Oryzias latipes: one gene and its partners. The protein of the gene in region 3 interacts with the protein of the main gene of each other region in a pairwise test. Links are inferred from orthologs where the notes say so. Each region holds a gene or a part of one and is shown on either strand. Other genes may lie near its edges.

Region 1 (4,914 bases), on a different chromosome or scaffold from region 3:
CATGATATATCCACTGGTTTTGTGCAGACTATTCTAATGAGCACTGGCACCTAAAACAGCAGAACGTTGTGATGTGTGTGACATTATCCGGGCAACAGGAGCGTCAGAGGATCCGGGAGGGAGGCGGCCTCGTCCTGCCTCCTGCGTGTGGGTGCAGGGCAGGACCGGGCTGTCTGACCGGGCGGCAGTGCTACGTACAACACTGGGATTGGTCTGTTTAGCTAGCTTAACTAGCTGTCACGCGCTAACAACATCTACGTCCGTTTATCTGCTCACGTCCCCGGACTTAAATGTCATTAAAACGACTTTACGTGCAGACACGGTGGTGATGGAAACGCAGCGATGGAGATCGTCGCCGTTTTTATGACAAAAAAGACAGAAAACACACCGATCAAGGCCAGTTCATGCGCAAAGCTAGCTAACTTACGGTTTCCAACAAACACAACGACTGAAACGCGCGAAAAGACACGGCACGCACGCGGGTTTCCCCAAAGCAGAGTCCCAAACCAAAACACCGACCTACCGAGCGCCACCTGACAGGCTTTCCGCAGCTGGCTGTGCTGGCTCCTCTTCACCTCCTTATCCGCGAGGATTTTCTCCAGCGCCCTGGACAGAAACATGCTCTTGGTTTTGTTGTTTGCCGCCTCAGACTGCGAGTGCTGCTGCGGGGGCCGCGGTTGCTGCATCGCTCGGTCTCTCAGGCCGTCATGTTCCGCCAGGACCCGCGGCTGCAGGTGACGAGGAAAGCTAACGAACGGCAGGCTCGCAGTGTCCAGCAGGGTTCCTGTCTCAGCTCAGCGTCGCCATGCTGGTTAGACGTCACGTCACGTGACATTCAGCTGTCTCGACAAAAACTCACACACTTGGAAATGAAAACTTTAGGCTTCACAGCTCGCCTAAAATAAACCATAGACTAGAATTCAAGTTAATTTATTTACATATTAAACAAATATAATTAATTTTTAACATTTTGAGTAGTAGACTGCACTTCCGGTTTCCATCAGTACTTCGTTTAGCCAGTAGATGGCGCCAAACTCCATGATGAGAATTAATTAAACGATATCTGCAGTTTCCCCCCACATTTCTTTAAAAAACAAACTACTTTGAACATCACAGCTACCCATAAATACAACCGACACTTAACAGCAAATATTGCTACATATTAGTTTATTTTTCCAGCTCCACCATCAGCAGTTACACCTGTTGGTTTGTGTGTGTACATCTTATTTATAGTGATAAAAACATATGCAGCATTGATATGAAAATACTGACATTCATTACAAATCTATATCATAGGATTCAACAGGCAAGCAAAAGTCATTGCTCCATTATTAAAACAAAAATCAGTCTAAAACATTTGTCTATGTTGAGGTTGCTAATCCCCCCCCCCCCCCCCCAATAGAATTCACAGTATCAAAAAATAGCAACAGATCTGATACCTTACAAAAGCCTTGAAATCACCCAGTTAAATGAGCGTAAATGGTTAAAGGAATCTATCGTACCTTGGGAAAAATCATGAATACACAGAAAAAGATTTTGTTGTAAAAAAAATAATAATAAAGCAGACAAAAAATAGTGGAATAAATAAAACTGTTGCTGTGGTTACAATTCCAGTGCCACGTGATGAAGTTAGATATGCAGTAAATAAATTACAGTGATTAGTAAAAGATTTAGATGAACGCTGGCAATGAAAGAAGACCCACCAGCTTTTGCTCCCAAATCCAAACAGGACAGTTCGCTTCAGCACTGAGCTTGTGGCTAAAGAGAGTGTCGTACGGATAATATGGATTCATCTATAGATGATTATTGTTTCCCTACAAACGCAGACATTCCTACCGTTAGCGTGTTTACACAACTCTGAATGTCTTTCAATGGAACTTAGCACTTCAGAGCAAAGGTGTGCTAAAAATAAACAGGTACAAACAAAACAAAGACACCTGCAAAGCAGTTGGCAGCAATGTGCAAAAGGTCTTCTGATAAATGAATCTGCTTCATGATTAAGAACTTAATGAACAGCCAATGACAGCAAAGCACAGGTGAGAGCAAACGGCTCCGCCTCACCTTTAACAAACATGGAAATGTTATTATTTTGTGTGGCTGGATGTGTGTTTGCTTCTCAGGGTGTGTTTTCAGGGACTCACTGCGTCAAATGACCAACTAAAATAAATATTAATGTGGGTGTTTTAATGCAAGTCATTCGCTCAGAATAGAGCTCTAACAGAAGCATGTTGGAGAATAAAACTTTCCATAGGCAAACAGGTATTGAAAACATTCAAGTCCCATGCAAATCGTGTTTTTGACACATTCTTGTGCCATTTTTCTAAGTATGGAGGACAAATATATAAAGAAAATTAAGCTTAACATTGCATTTCCAAGCCACGAGCTCCCTGCTCTGCTTAGCAATGGGGATGGAAAGGGGGGCGGTGTTGCTCTGCACCAAAAATCCTACCCACAACTCTGGGCTGAATTTCTAATGAACTCCTGCCGCTCTGCAGAAACTATGTCCTACAAAACGACACAATTTCTTAACCAATTTTGACTAAAAACTGCATAATTATACTTAAAGGACCAATGGGATCGCTTTGAACATAGATGACAAGATGATCGGAGTGGGACTTTAAATGCAGCATAAAATTAAATTAAGAAACACATTAAAACGTGGTCCAGAAAGAAATGAGGGCAGAAATGCTAAACATCGCGACAGGTTTTGTAGAAAATGTGCAGGAGTCACATTTGCAGACATTTGTCAGTTTCTGAATTTTAAAAATGCAATCTCAGTACCGGCTGAACTAAAGCTTTGTCATTAAAAAAAGCCATCTTAGTGGGTCCGTCCGTTTTACAGAGAGGTACAAAGATTCGTCTAAAAGCGTCGCAGAGCGAGCGTTTCCTAAAAGCAGTAGAACTGAAGATTTGGTTGACTGACATGTCACCGACTTAAGTAGATTTGAATAGAACTATTTATGCTGTAAAGCTACAGGTGGGGGGTGGGGTGGGGGGTTACCAGAGAAAAAAGGAGCTGGCTAACAAAAACAAAACTACTGAGAAAATAACTGCTTCTGGGGGCTAAACTAGACTTTTGTGTTTCTTCTTTCACATTTCTATGGAGCTGGGGGTGCGGAGGGGGTGTCACCTCTTTGGCACACATGCATGATCATTGGCATGTAGAGAAGTGTAGTGTTTTCCTTCACGTTTCTGCATGGAGGTGTCGGTGTGACGCTAGTGTTTCTCTGGAACAGTCGCTGCCTGACGGGGGCAAAGGGGGGTTTTATTTTCTGGTCTGTGATGCCTTACCCCCCCCCCCCTGAGTGTTTCCTTCCCAGGACAGTTCAGTCAGTGCTGAGGCTACAGCGTTATTACGGTGCCCTCCTCCTCCAGGCTCCGCCTGACCCTGTCTGGCGACGGCGTGGCTGAATTGGCGTCGGCGTGATTCAGCGATCCGCTGCTGTTGCTGGCGGGCAGAGTCCCGTTGGTGTGGATGGAGAAGGCGGAGGCGGAAGTGAAGGCGGTGCGGAGGTTGAGGTGTGGTTCGTAGCGAGGCATAGAGGGCATGCTGTATGTGGAGGAGGTGCGTCTGATGGGCTCGGCCTCGCCGCCAGCCTCGATCACCAGGTCTTCTTCGTCTTCGTCGCTTTCCAGCTCCCCAGCGGAGAAGTTCTGGATGATGTGTGAAGGCATGGAGGCCGTGGCGCCGTGCGTGGAGTAGCCGTAGCAGCTGGCGCCGCTGTCCGACGACCGCCCTGAACTACCAGATGCAGCCCCGCCCCCTCCGCTCCGAACGACATTGTTCCTCTGGTTGGCGGGCTTCACTGTAATGATGAGGTTGTGGCTGTTCGCGATCATCATGTCCGTCACCTGATCCAGAGATTTGCCGGCCACCTCGATGCCGTTCACCTCCAGGACCTCATCGTTTACCGCCAGCAGGCCGGTGCTCTCCGCCAGCCCGCCAGGAACCAGGCGGGAGATGAATATGGCCGGGACCTTCTCCAGACCCTGCGGAGTGACCCGCACGCTGGAGCCGTCGCGGATGTAGAAACCCAGCGGCTTCTCCTGGCCGTGCTTGTACAGGCGCACGCGTCTGTGCGTCTCCGGAAGGATGTCCACGTCGATGATGGACGACACCGGGCGGAAGTCTTTCGGGAGGCTGATGATCACCGGGTGCTTCTTCCTGGTGGCGTCCGGCCTCAGAAGAACCGCAGAAAGGACCGTGTTCTTCTTCCTGGTCAGCGGGTCTGTAGCAAACGTGTTTTCAGCTTCTTCTGCAAAACCCAAGAGGAAGAACAGAAGAGAAGAAAGACAAAAGGAGGAAGAGGAAAGAAACAAATGATTAATTTTCCATTAAAAACTTTCAGATCAAAGTATTACCCACGCCAGATTTCTTTTGCATCATCTCGTCTTTAAACCTGAGGCATCGCTCGTAATCATGAACATACTAAAGGTGCTTTTTCTTCAGAAAAACACAAAAACAACAAGCTGCCATCCAGAAATTACCCGACGCCGTCTGTGAATGACCTCCCCGGTCCACCTGAAGATGAATTATCCGTCTATCTCTACTCTGAACCTCTGACGCAAGCCTGAAGAGGACCATCAATCATACATGAAACCACAAGAAGAGCTGCAGTCAAATGGGAATCGATGTTTCTGAGCGATTAAACAAAGTTAAGTCATTATTTACAGATTAAAAATACAACAGAAAAGAGAAAAATCTCCTCAAAGAAGAAACTCTCTCAGATACGGAATAACTGCAGGGAATTCTGATTGTTTTCTGCGTATTTTCTTTATTTCTGTAAAAATACTGTTTGTAAAATTTTAAGTTTGGACTTGAATTTTGAATATTGACATCCATCGTTGTACATCTTTGTATTAATTTTATTTTTTATTTCATCAGTGTAAAAATAAATACATTTAATAATAATA
Region 2 (4,881 bases), on a different chromosome or scaffold from region 3:
AGATTTTATCCAGAAGTAAACACCTGAATTTAACTTTAGATTGAAGTAACTTCCATGTCTAAGATCCATTTAATCCAATTCAAAACAAATACACAAAGGTAACAATCCCATTGTTACCAGGAAACATGTCGTTATTCTAAGTGGAAACAAGTGCAATGTAATTATCTTTACTGAGAGGTTACTATGTATTCTTAAATTTAAGCTATGAAGTACAAACATGTATTTTCTGGGTGACGGCCGTCAGCCAACAAAAGCAAAAAAAAAAAAAAAAGTGTACCCACCGGGGAGAAACTTATCATTGTATCTCCACAAAGGGATGGCACGTGCTTAAGAGATTTTACCTACAAAGGAAATCTAAGCCTGGAAGGGAGTGTCAGGTAGATAAAAGAGATGAGCACATGTTGAAGTAGCCATTGTTAATGGGGGCATAAGCTGAAAAGGATGCGTACACACACACACACACACAGGAAGCTAAATGGTATTCTGGCGTTACAGTAGAGAATGGGTTTGCTTCTCAGCTCATTAAAATTCAAAGACCAGAGTTTTAGCTCCAATGTTGAGATTCTTAGGACTACCATAACTCTTCAACCATTTACAAGTATTCTCAACTGGAGAAAAGCAGCCTTGTAATGATATGAAGCTCTTTACAATAGCGAGGTACTGATGCAATCAATGCAAATCAGATGATTCTGGTGCGGAGAAAAACAGCTTTACGCCGTTGCGGGTGTGGATTAAATCAACCACAGTGATAGTGCACAACTAAAAAAGAAGTTCCGGTCACATAACCTATCACTGCGCTGGCTTCTTTGAAAGAAACTTTAGCTTCATCATCTGGACTAAAACAAGCGGTAAGAGGTGAACTTTCTGAACTGATGCTTTATTTAAGCCATCGTGACGATCAGCATGTATATCGCTTTCCTTTGCCACTGCAGTCGAGGTGCCGGCTCAGCCATTTCCACACATCGCACCACATATCAAATAGTCCACTTTTTGTGAAAAAGCGATTTAAAATGAAAGAATAACTACAATAGAGCACAAAAAATGGACTGAATATTTATTCCTTTTATAAGTGACCATAATCTGGGAATAGAAGTAAGCAGCCTTTTTTAGATGTGCATGGGAATTATTTACTAATTTTACCCTCATCCCCATTAAATGCTTAACTTTTTGGGAGCCATTTTTTGATTTTTAGTAATCACTAATTTTACAATCTCTCAATTTCAAGGGGAAAAGCATTCTACTAAGCTGATAGCAGTAGTTTTATTTTGAAGTCTTAGTGACATGTGCAGTCACTGTTTTCTCATTTGTGACGAAAGCCTTTCTTCTCCTACTGGGGTGACGATGGGACAAAGAAGTCCCCACTGACGACCCGCACTGGCACCGTCTGTTACAGTCTTCATCACAAACGCACACATTTGCTTATGTTGTGAGCTGCAGGGGTGAAGGGCATGTCACGAGGTCCTCCGGGCTTCACTCATCTCTCTGTTGAACAACTAACAAAATAATCTGCAGACTAACAATACATCAACATCCTATTCCTCAAAACTACACAGCAGTGTAAAGGTTAAACCAGAAAAACACTAAATAGAATTCAAGGGATTCGAGGATATCTTTATTGACATTTCACCAGAGGGATAAAACGAAATTTGTGACTCTGGTCCCGGACCAGCCATTTCCAGAAAGTCGCATTAGCAGGAAACATTTGCTCATGCGTTAGTGAAATAGCTCTGATGTTGAAAAGAACACATTAGTCAGCTATTTAAAACACAATGTCAAGTAAGAATTGATAAAGTGATACAAGTCAAAAGTCTTTAAATAATATAAATCTTAATTTGAATGATACTGACCCGAACCGTCAAGTAATTCAATGGTTTAAAAAAAAAAAAGAAAAAACTAATGTTCTTACAAAACTGAACAGCAATTAGAACAAATCTTATCTAAATTTAGATTGATTTGAAATTATTTCTGCATTGATGGGGGGAGGGGCTTTCAATAGTTCAGTGGTCTCATGAAGGGACCCCAACAAAGTCCAAACTTGACTTTCTTCTTTGACTTTTGGTAGCTCCTTCAAAGCCTTGTTTCCACTGAGCAGTATGGTATGGTCCAGTTTAGAATGGTCCGAGCCATTCAGGAAAGCGTTTTCACTCAAAGCTGGACCGTTCCGGCGCAGGTGGAGCTAACAACAACAACAGTCATCCAGCGGCACATTTTTTCTGCTTGGCTTTTGCCATTTTGTATATACAAAGCATTTAATGTTGTTTGAGAGAAGATTGCGGGCAACAAAAGCGCTTTCTTGGTTCAACAGTAGCAACGTTCCATTTTTCTATGGACCTACAACTACCGGGGGCCAAAAAGTGGTATGGTTTGATCTGGCTTAATTGGTCCATTTTAGAACAGAAATGCTCAAAATACCGTACCGTCCTGCTCAGTGGAAACGAGGTCATAGAGGTCCCCACAGCAAATCACAATTTGCATATCTGATTTGGCTTTGGTTTTATGTCAGATGCCGTTTTTTACACAACCCTCTATATTCACCTGGCTTGGGACCAGCACATGAATGCATTGGATCAGTTACTTTTGCTAAAAACGTTACTTTTTCCCATCCAATTAGAGTTTTGGGGAAATTGTTGAGGTGCTCGGGGTAAACTCCAGTCAATAACCCATGTTGGGCTTCATTTTTGAAGTGATGTCAAAGATTATGGGTCCAGTGTAAGCATGTTTACCTTTAAACTCCTAATTCATAATAGAAAAAGGATTTTATTTGTAGTGGTAGTAAATTACTACTCAAATTTTAATAAGTAAGTTCAGCTTTGACCATTTGGGGTCTAAAGAGTAAATGGGTCTCAATTGGGCCCCTTCTGTATAATTTCCTAATTTCATGATGGAAATCTACTACAAACTTGTTCAATTCACTCAGGATGTCTTTTGTTCTCAAACCCCTGGACGGTAATTAAAACAAAACCCTGGAGTGTACATGTTCATCCCACCACCAAGAATGAATCTGAATGTTGAAGGATTCATTTGTGTGCTTGCTGGATCGTTGGCGAGCAGTCAAGACTCGCTCCATAGCAGGGATCGGTAAAAGAGACAGAGAACGGACTCCGTCTACATATTTAAACAAATACATGCTCGCATGTAGACGCACAGAAGCTCCCAAAGGCAGAGCACTCAGTCAGGAGTCTCCTTTTCATGCAGATCTTTTGTCTCCCAGTAATGTCTGGTATGCCAGGATTCAGGCTTTGCTCAATGACCTGATTTCTATGGGGCTGCCAAGGCACCGATGTCTGTGTGTACATTTGTGTGTGTGTTTATCTGCCTGCAAGCCCTTCCTTTGACCGAGGCACAGGGTTTAGCTGGGTAGACAGACAACAACTCAGACTGGGAGTGATCCAGCGAATAAGAGTGCAGGAAACATGTAAGTAGACACACGAATAAAGTCTTGCCAGAAGACAACAAAAAGCCTCAAGGCAGGAATTACCAGATGAAGAAATACTCTGTGGGGAAAGGTGGTTTAATCACAAAGATTGCTGCAGATGATGCAGCTACAAAGAAGCTGCGGGCACGGTAATTGCAGAGGATTTTGAGACAGTTGTAAAGATAGGCCTAATGAATGTCGATTGCCTTAAAACCGGATTAAACAAGGTGATAGTTAAGAAAGTGTACCTTGTCTCTGTATGAATATCCTGAGGAGTGGATGAGCAGTCGACACCGCTTTGCAAAAGTTGTCGTCGTTGTTTATCGGCAGCAGGTCCCCATGGACATCGGCATAGCCAATCATCATCTCCATATTAGCAATGCGGTGAATGTGCAAAAGGAGCTTGTAGAACTCCTCGAACCTTCCAGGTTTGACCCGGTCCACTGAGAACCGGCGAAACTCTGCTCCATACTAAACAGAGAAAGGGAAAAAAAGGCAGGATAAGGATGGAGGACATCAAAGAGGATACATTACAAGCACGAGAGTGAGAATCGGGGTGAGAGGGTACATGTTCATTGAGCATGTGGAACTCAAATATTATAGAACCGGCAAGTTTCCATCAAAAGACCAAATCTTACAGTTTGCAAAACTACGTTGAGCAAAGCTTAAGCATTTTCTAATAAATCCACAACACAATACCAGGGAATGTCATCCTCAGGGTGAAAAAGGAAGTGTTTCGTTACAAGCACCAGCAGGACCAGTATGACCGTTTTGAAACAAGGAAGCAGTATTACATGTTCACAGGAGTTATATAGTTGATGATTCTCCTTCCACTCAACCAGTACCTGATAAAAGAAAAAGGACTAAAAATCAACTGCAGGATTAAGAATACATTTAAAGTTACTTCAAGGCATAAAATAGTTCTATGGATTCTTTTAAAACCCTATAAATCTTTCAGTTTATATATAGTGTTCCCTCCCTATATTGTGGCTCACCTTTTGCAGTATGGCCGTTTTGCAAAATGAATTTCCGTGCATGCTTCTTTTTTTGTTTTAAAGAGCATACAGTATTCTGCGTCCTGATTGGCTGTTAACTTTGTCAACCTCTTTTGCTTGCCATGTCTGCTGTACAGAATGCGTCGAGTTTGCCTGATCTACATAAATGTTCTATCGCGATCAAAGCTTTGTTTTCATTCTATTTTACTGGACTTATATTTCTATGAAGGTTTGAACCTTGAGAGTTTAAGCAAGAGAAAAGTGTGAAAATGTTCACGTATGTGTATATATATATAAAAAACCCAGGAGCTCTGGGACGGCTTGTTTTGCAGAAAAAAAGAAAAGTTGGTTGATTGCAATACAATAGACAGTAGTCGCTCTACTCTCTTTGAACATTAGATACAGGCCTCCAACAATTGTGTGTGAGCTTTCCTGTCGAGGTCACTGACATACAAATGACTAGAGGTCATG
Region 3 (4,881 bases):
GAGACTCCGGCGTTATTTACGGCGCAGGAAGTCGTAAACGTTAATGACTCGCTGGAGGAGCAGGAACAGGAAACGGCTGAAACATGGGAGGATTTTCAGTCACCAGCTACTGAGCGGGGGGGGGCTCCACCTTCCAGAACGCCACCAGAACGCCACCAACCAAAACACGCCAACAAAGACAAAAGTGGCTTACAAGATCCCAGTCCACGTTCCTGAAGAACGGATGACCCGTGATGTCAGCGAAGCCGGTCTGAGGATGGCAGCCCAGGCGCTCCTTGGGATCCTGGGGGGAGTTGAAAGGGGGTGAGGGTGGAGGGTGATGGAGGCGGAGAGGCAGCAGCCAGAAAAGCACAACGGCGTCAAACAGCTCAAAGACCCGATAGTCTGAGTCAGTAGACCACTATTTTTTTTCTTCTTTTTTTGGGAGATGATGTTTAATTTAAATGCAAGAATTTCTCATTAGTGTTTAGAATCAATGAAAGCTACCAGATTCTCCCAAACCTATAAAATGAGGCTTTTCAGACGCGTTTCTCTGGTTTCACCAAAGTGACTGGAGACGCTTAACAAGCAGAACTGTCTTCAAGAGAAAAGTTGAAACGGTCTAAATCCTCCAAATGTTCTTTGTCCAAACTGGAAGATTTCTGTCATTTCTCTGGGAGAAATGTTCTAAAATCAGCTGAAAGTTGGCATAAAACTCTTTACTGGGGGGTGGGGACACCTCTGGGGGCCTTTCACGTTTTTGATAATGTTTTTACCAACATTTTCTTTATTAAAAGTTTAAAAGTAAACAACAATACAATTAGGAATAAGCGTGAAGCCGCTCCTGCGCTCAAACGTGCTCGCCACTTTGTTTTTCTGTTTAGTTCAGGGCCGTGGCGCTGCCTGAACCTTCGGTCGGACGTGAATCCAGGAAGTTAAAACGCTCTGGAGTCTGAAAGAGGAACGATCACCTCAGAGGACAGAAAGAGACGGAGACAGGTGGCGGCGGCGGTTTCAGGCCCAAACCCTCCTTACCTTGTTGAGGAACCCCTTGAGGACGCTGGCGGCTTTGACGGACAGCGAGCGGGGAATTCTGATCTGTTTGTTCAGTATCACTGCAGGGAAAAAGGAGAATTTCAGACGTGAGAGGAGAGCAGCATCTCGCCGCCAAGCTTCGCCGTTCCTGCAGAAACAAACAGCTGACAGTTTGAGAGCAGGTTTAAAGAAGAGGGGAGGACGCATTCACACATTTCCTGGAACAGATGGCGTGCGCCTGGCGCTGAGAGAATCTGCGACAAAGGTGTCGATAAGAAGGTGTTTCCACGCTGCCGCCCCCCACCCCCCCGAACCACAACGCCGTTTTACCCTGGAAGAGATAGTCTTCTGTGTTCTGGTCCGGGTTATCAGAGCTGCCGACAATGTCGAACGGCGAGCGGCCCGCCATCATCTCGAACATCAGCACGCCCAGCGCCCACCAGTCCACGCTGAAGCCTGCAACACACGCCGTCAGAAACGATGAGCGATGGGCTCGGAGCGGACGGACATGTCGACAAAAACGAGTGCAGGAAACACAAATGCAGGTTTATAAACACACAAAAATGGCTTAAAAACACAAAAAAAACATGTAAAAAACAAAAACTGACCAAATAACAAAAACGAGTTAAAAACCCAACAAGAAATAAAGAAAAAATACCTAAAATAAAAAAAATTAAAAAAAGGGGTTAAAAAACGTGAAGACAATAAAAAAACTGTAAATAGAAAAAACTGGTTAAAACAACACAAAAGTGAGTCTTGTGTGCCAGTAAAGCGCCTGTAGACACACTTCTCCTTCAATCACACGTCTGGATAAACTCTTCTCAGGTGAGCATGCTTGAATGAAATCTTCCCGTAAAATGCTTTCAAATCAGAACCATAAAATGACAAAAGTGTTCTGGAAAAAATCCCCAACAGCTCAGAGAAAGTGGAACAGGAACAACCGTCAGGATCCTCCTCTGTTCAACGGCCTCAAAAAACTGTTGGGAAATGAGGCGTGACGGGACTTTGGCTCGGCTCGTCTGCCGTCTTTGGGATTTGAACCTTTGACATCACGACGGGGCTCAGGAACATTTCTACAGGAAGCCGTGAGGCTCAGGTTGTGAGGAGCGTCATGCATCACTTCGGTCACGTTACAGAGCAGCTCGTGTCTGCGGGTGAAACATTTCTGACTGCTTTTATTTTTAGAGGAGCTGGTCGCCATGACACCGCCGTGGTTACCAGGCCGGAGTCTATTTTTACCGCGGCTGAAGCTCTTGTCCGGTTGCTGTGGCGGAGAACCCGCAGACCGTGGCTGTCCGGGTCACATCGCCGTTTTCCAGAAAATAAACCCCCCGGGCGGCGCCCTCCCCCCGCTCTCCGCCTCTCTCACCGTAATCCTCGCCTCGCAGTATCTCGGGGGCGATGTAGTTGGGGGTGCCGCAGAACGTGCTGGTCGTATCGCCGGGCCTCAGGCCCTCCTGCAAAAGCACAAAAGCTTTGACTTCCTGTCAGACTTTTGCACACCGGGGCGGGGGTCATCGTTCACGGTACGCTGCCATCCCCACCTTGCACATGCCGTAGTCGGTGAGCTTGATGTGTCCCTCAGAGTCCAGCAGCACGTTGTCCAGCTTCAGGTCTCTGTAGATGATCCCTCGCTCGTGCAGGTAGTTCAGCGCCAGGCTGATCTCAGCCGAGTAGAACCTGACAGGAGCAGCCAGCGTCAGTAAGGAGCCCGCACCGCGAGGAGGTTCTCACCGACCCGGGGAGGGGGGCCTTACCGGGCGTGCTCCTCCGGAAGCTTCCTCTGCCTCTGCATGTGGAACATGAGATCTCCGCCGTTCACGTACTCGATGACGAAGAAGAGTCTGCGGACAAAGAGGAGGACGTCACCGGTCTGCACAGACACGGCGGCAAATGCCAGGATGTTCCCGACAGGAGAGCTGCAGAAACACGGACACTCTGGACGGATCCGTCAGACCGTCACACTTTGTTCGTTTTTTCTCTGACTTTAAACAAAGCAACAAATTTGGATAATAAAGTTTACATCTTCCTGACTACCAGAGAGAAAATATTATGGTCAGAAATAATGAGAGGTATAAATCTGATGTGATGGATGCTAAACTCCTAAATCTCTCTTCAAAACTGCGAATAGGATTCATAATAAGGATGTAATTGAGTCAGTTTAATCTTCAAAAAACGTATTAAAATCAATTGGTTTGGTAAAAGTCCATCAATCAAAGGGCTCAGAATGATTGGAGGCGTTTCCTTCGTCCTCACCTGCTCTCCGTCTGGAAACAGGAGTGGAGGCCGACCAGGAAGGGGTGGTTGGACGCCTGCTCGAAGACGTGCTTCTCCGTTTGGACCCAGTCGATGTCCTGGAGGATGAAACCAGCCAGACGTCAGTCAAAGATCATTATTGCCGCGGCTGTGGGAGAAGAGCGCCGAGTCGGGAGGATCCAGACCGCCGATGTCTGAGATGAACAGGGATGACGGAGCAGGCCAGAGGAACCCTTCAGCATCGACCCAAACCCGCTCATCCATTGAGCCAAGTGTGTCTAATCAGGGCTAACCGCTGCTCACAAGTGTTCAGAGATCAACTCTGACCACGCCGTGCGTCAGCCGCCCCTTCATCACAGAACAAACGCTGTCAGGTTGGAAAAAACACAGACCTGACCCGCGCCGCAGCAGACAGACAAACCTGACCCGGCCCGCGCCACAGAGAGAACCCAGCCCGACCCGCAGACGGGCCCGACCTACAGAGAGAACCCGACCCGCAGACGGACCTGACCCGCAGACGGACCCGGCCCGCAGACGGACACGACCTGCAGATGGACCCGACCCACAGACGGACCCGCCCACGCCGCAGAGAGAACCCAGCCCAACCCGCAGACGGACCCAACCCAACCCGCAGACGGACCCAACCCACGCCGCAGACGGACCCGACCTACAGAGAGAACCCGGCCCGGCCCGCAGACAGACCCGGCCCGCAGACGGACCCGACCTGCAGATGGACCCGACCCCGCCCACGCCGCAGAGAGAACCCAGCCCAACCCGCAGACGGACCCGACCTACAGAGAGAACCCAGCCCGAACCACAGACGGGCCCGACCTACAGAGAGAACCCGACCCGCAGACGGACCCAACCCGCAGACGGACCCGACCCGGCCCGCGCCTTCACGATTCATTTTAACCAAAAACAAACTTTACTTCTCATCCTGGAGAGCAGACAGACGGACCATCAACACTTTAAAGACGTTAAGAAAACATTTTTACACTTCGATAATTCTAAACATCCTTTGATAAAAGGAGGAAATAAAAAAAAAGTGTCACTGTCAAAATCCAGAACCAGAGTGATTCTGATTCACCAGTTTATAATTTTCAGGTTTTAAAACTAGTTTAAATTATAAACTGTAAAAAGATGAAATTTTAATTACATTAAAAACCAACAGAAAGTGATTTTTTCCTGATTCAAGTACCAGAACAATTAAACTGATTTATGGATCAGATGAATCAATCATTGATCATCTCTCCTGTTCTGTCTTTTTTCTGGATTGTTGCTTCTCAGCCTCAGATGTTCTGGTTTTCCCCAAACGGGGACAAAGAATTTCTTCTAAAGGTGTTTTTAAGGTCTGCAGAACAAAATAAAACATTTATAGAGATCATCTGTGCAAACTAACAAAAAAACCCAAGAAGGAAATAACTTTTGCTATTGTTTGATTCCAAGAAGTCCATTTGAATCAACATTAAATAAATAAATAAAAACTTTATTCAGTTTTGGCAGAACTTTAAACGTCTTCAGTTGAGAAAACGTTCTGGAAAAGAGTAATAATAATAATATGAAAACAAAGCAAAGGCAAAAAAGGGCTAAATTACTACATGCCAATTTTCT

What was found.
Region 1: the proteins of prkci (region 3) and pard6b interact in binary tests that used the Homo sapiens proteins (3 or more experiments, as listed by UniProt). The link is inferred for Oryzias latipes from reciprocal best matches to the Homo sapiens genes PRKCI and PARD6B.
Region 2: the proteins of prkci (region 3) and partitioning defective 6 homolog gamma interact in binary tests that used the Homo sapiens proteins (3 or more experiments, as listed by UniProt). The link is inferred for Oryzias latipes from reciprocal best matches to the Homo sapiens genes PRKCI and PARD6G.

What each region holds. Positions count from the first base shown.
Region 1 is NC_019865.2:4,496,603-4,501,516, forward strand, and holds the end of pard6b (partitioning defective 6 homolog beta), read right to left. Parts: intron 4,257-4,914; coding exon 3,343-4,256; 3' UTR 1,151-3,342; downstream 1-1,150. Other genes in the region: arfgef2 (brefeldin A-inhibited guanine nucleotide-exchange protein 2), read right to left, coding at 524-686. UniProt on the Homo sapiens protein: Adapter protein involved in asymmetrical cell division and cell polarization processes. Probably involved in formation of epithelial tight junctions.
Region 2 is NC_019869.2:23,950,825-23,955,705, reverse strand, and holds part of partitioning defective 6 homolog gamma, read right to left. Parts: intron 3,887-4,881; coding exon 3,664-3,886; intron 1-3,663. UniProt on the Homo sapiens protein: Adapter protein involved in asymmetrical cell division and cell polarization processes. May play a role in the formation of epithelial tight junctions. The PARD6-PARD3 complex links GTP-bound Rho small GTPases to atypical protein kinase C proteins.
Region 3 is NC_019875.2:30,172,865-30,177,745, forward strand, and holds part of prkci (protein kinase C iota type), read right to left. Parts: intron 3,369-4,881; coding exon 3,271-3,368; intron 2,859-3,270; coding exon 2,772-2,858; intron 2,695-2,771; coding exon 2,559-2,694; intron 2,472-2,558; coding exon 2,384-2,471; intron 1,471-2,383; coding exon 1,345-1,470; intron 1,095-1,344; coding exon 1,015-1,094; intron 284-1,014; coding exon 194-283; intron 1-193.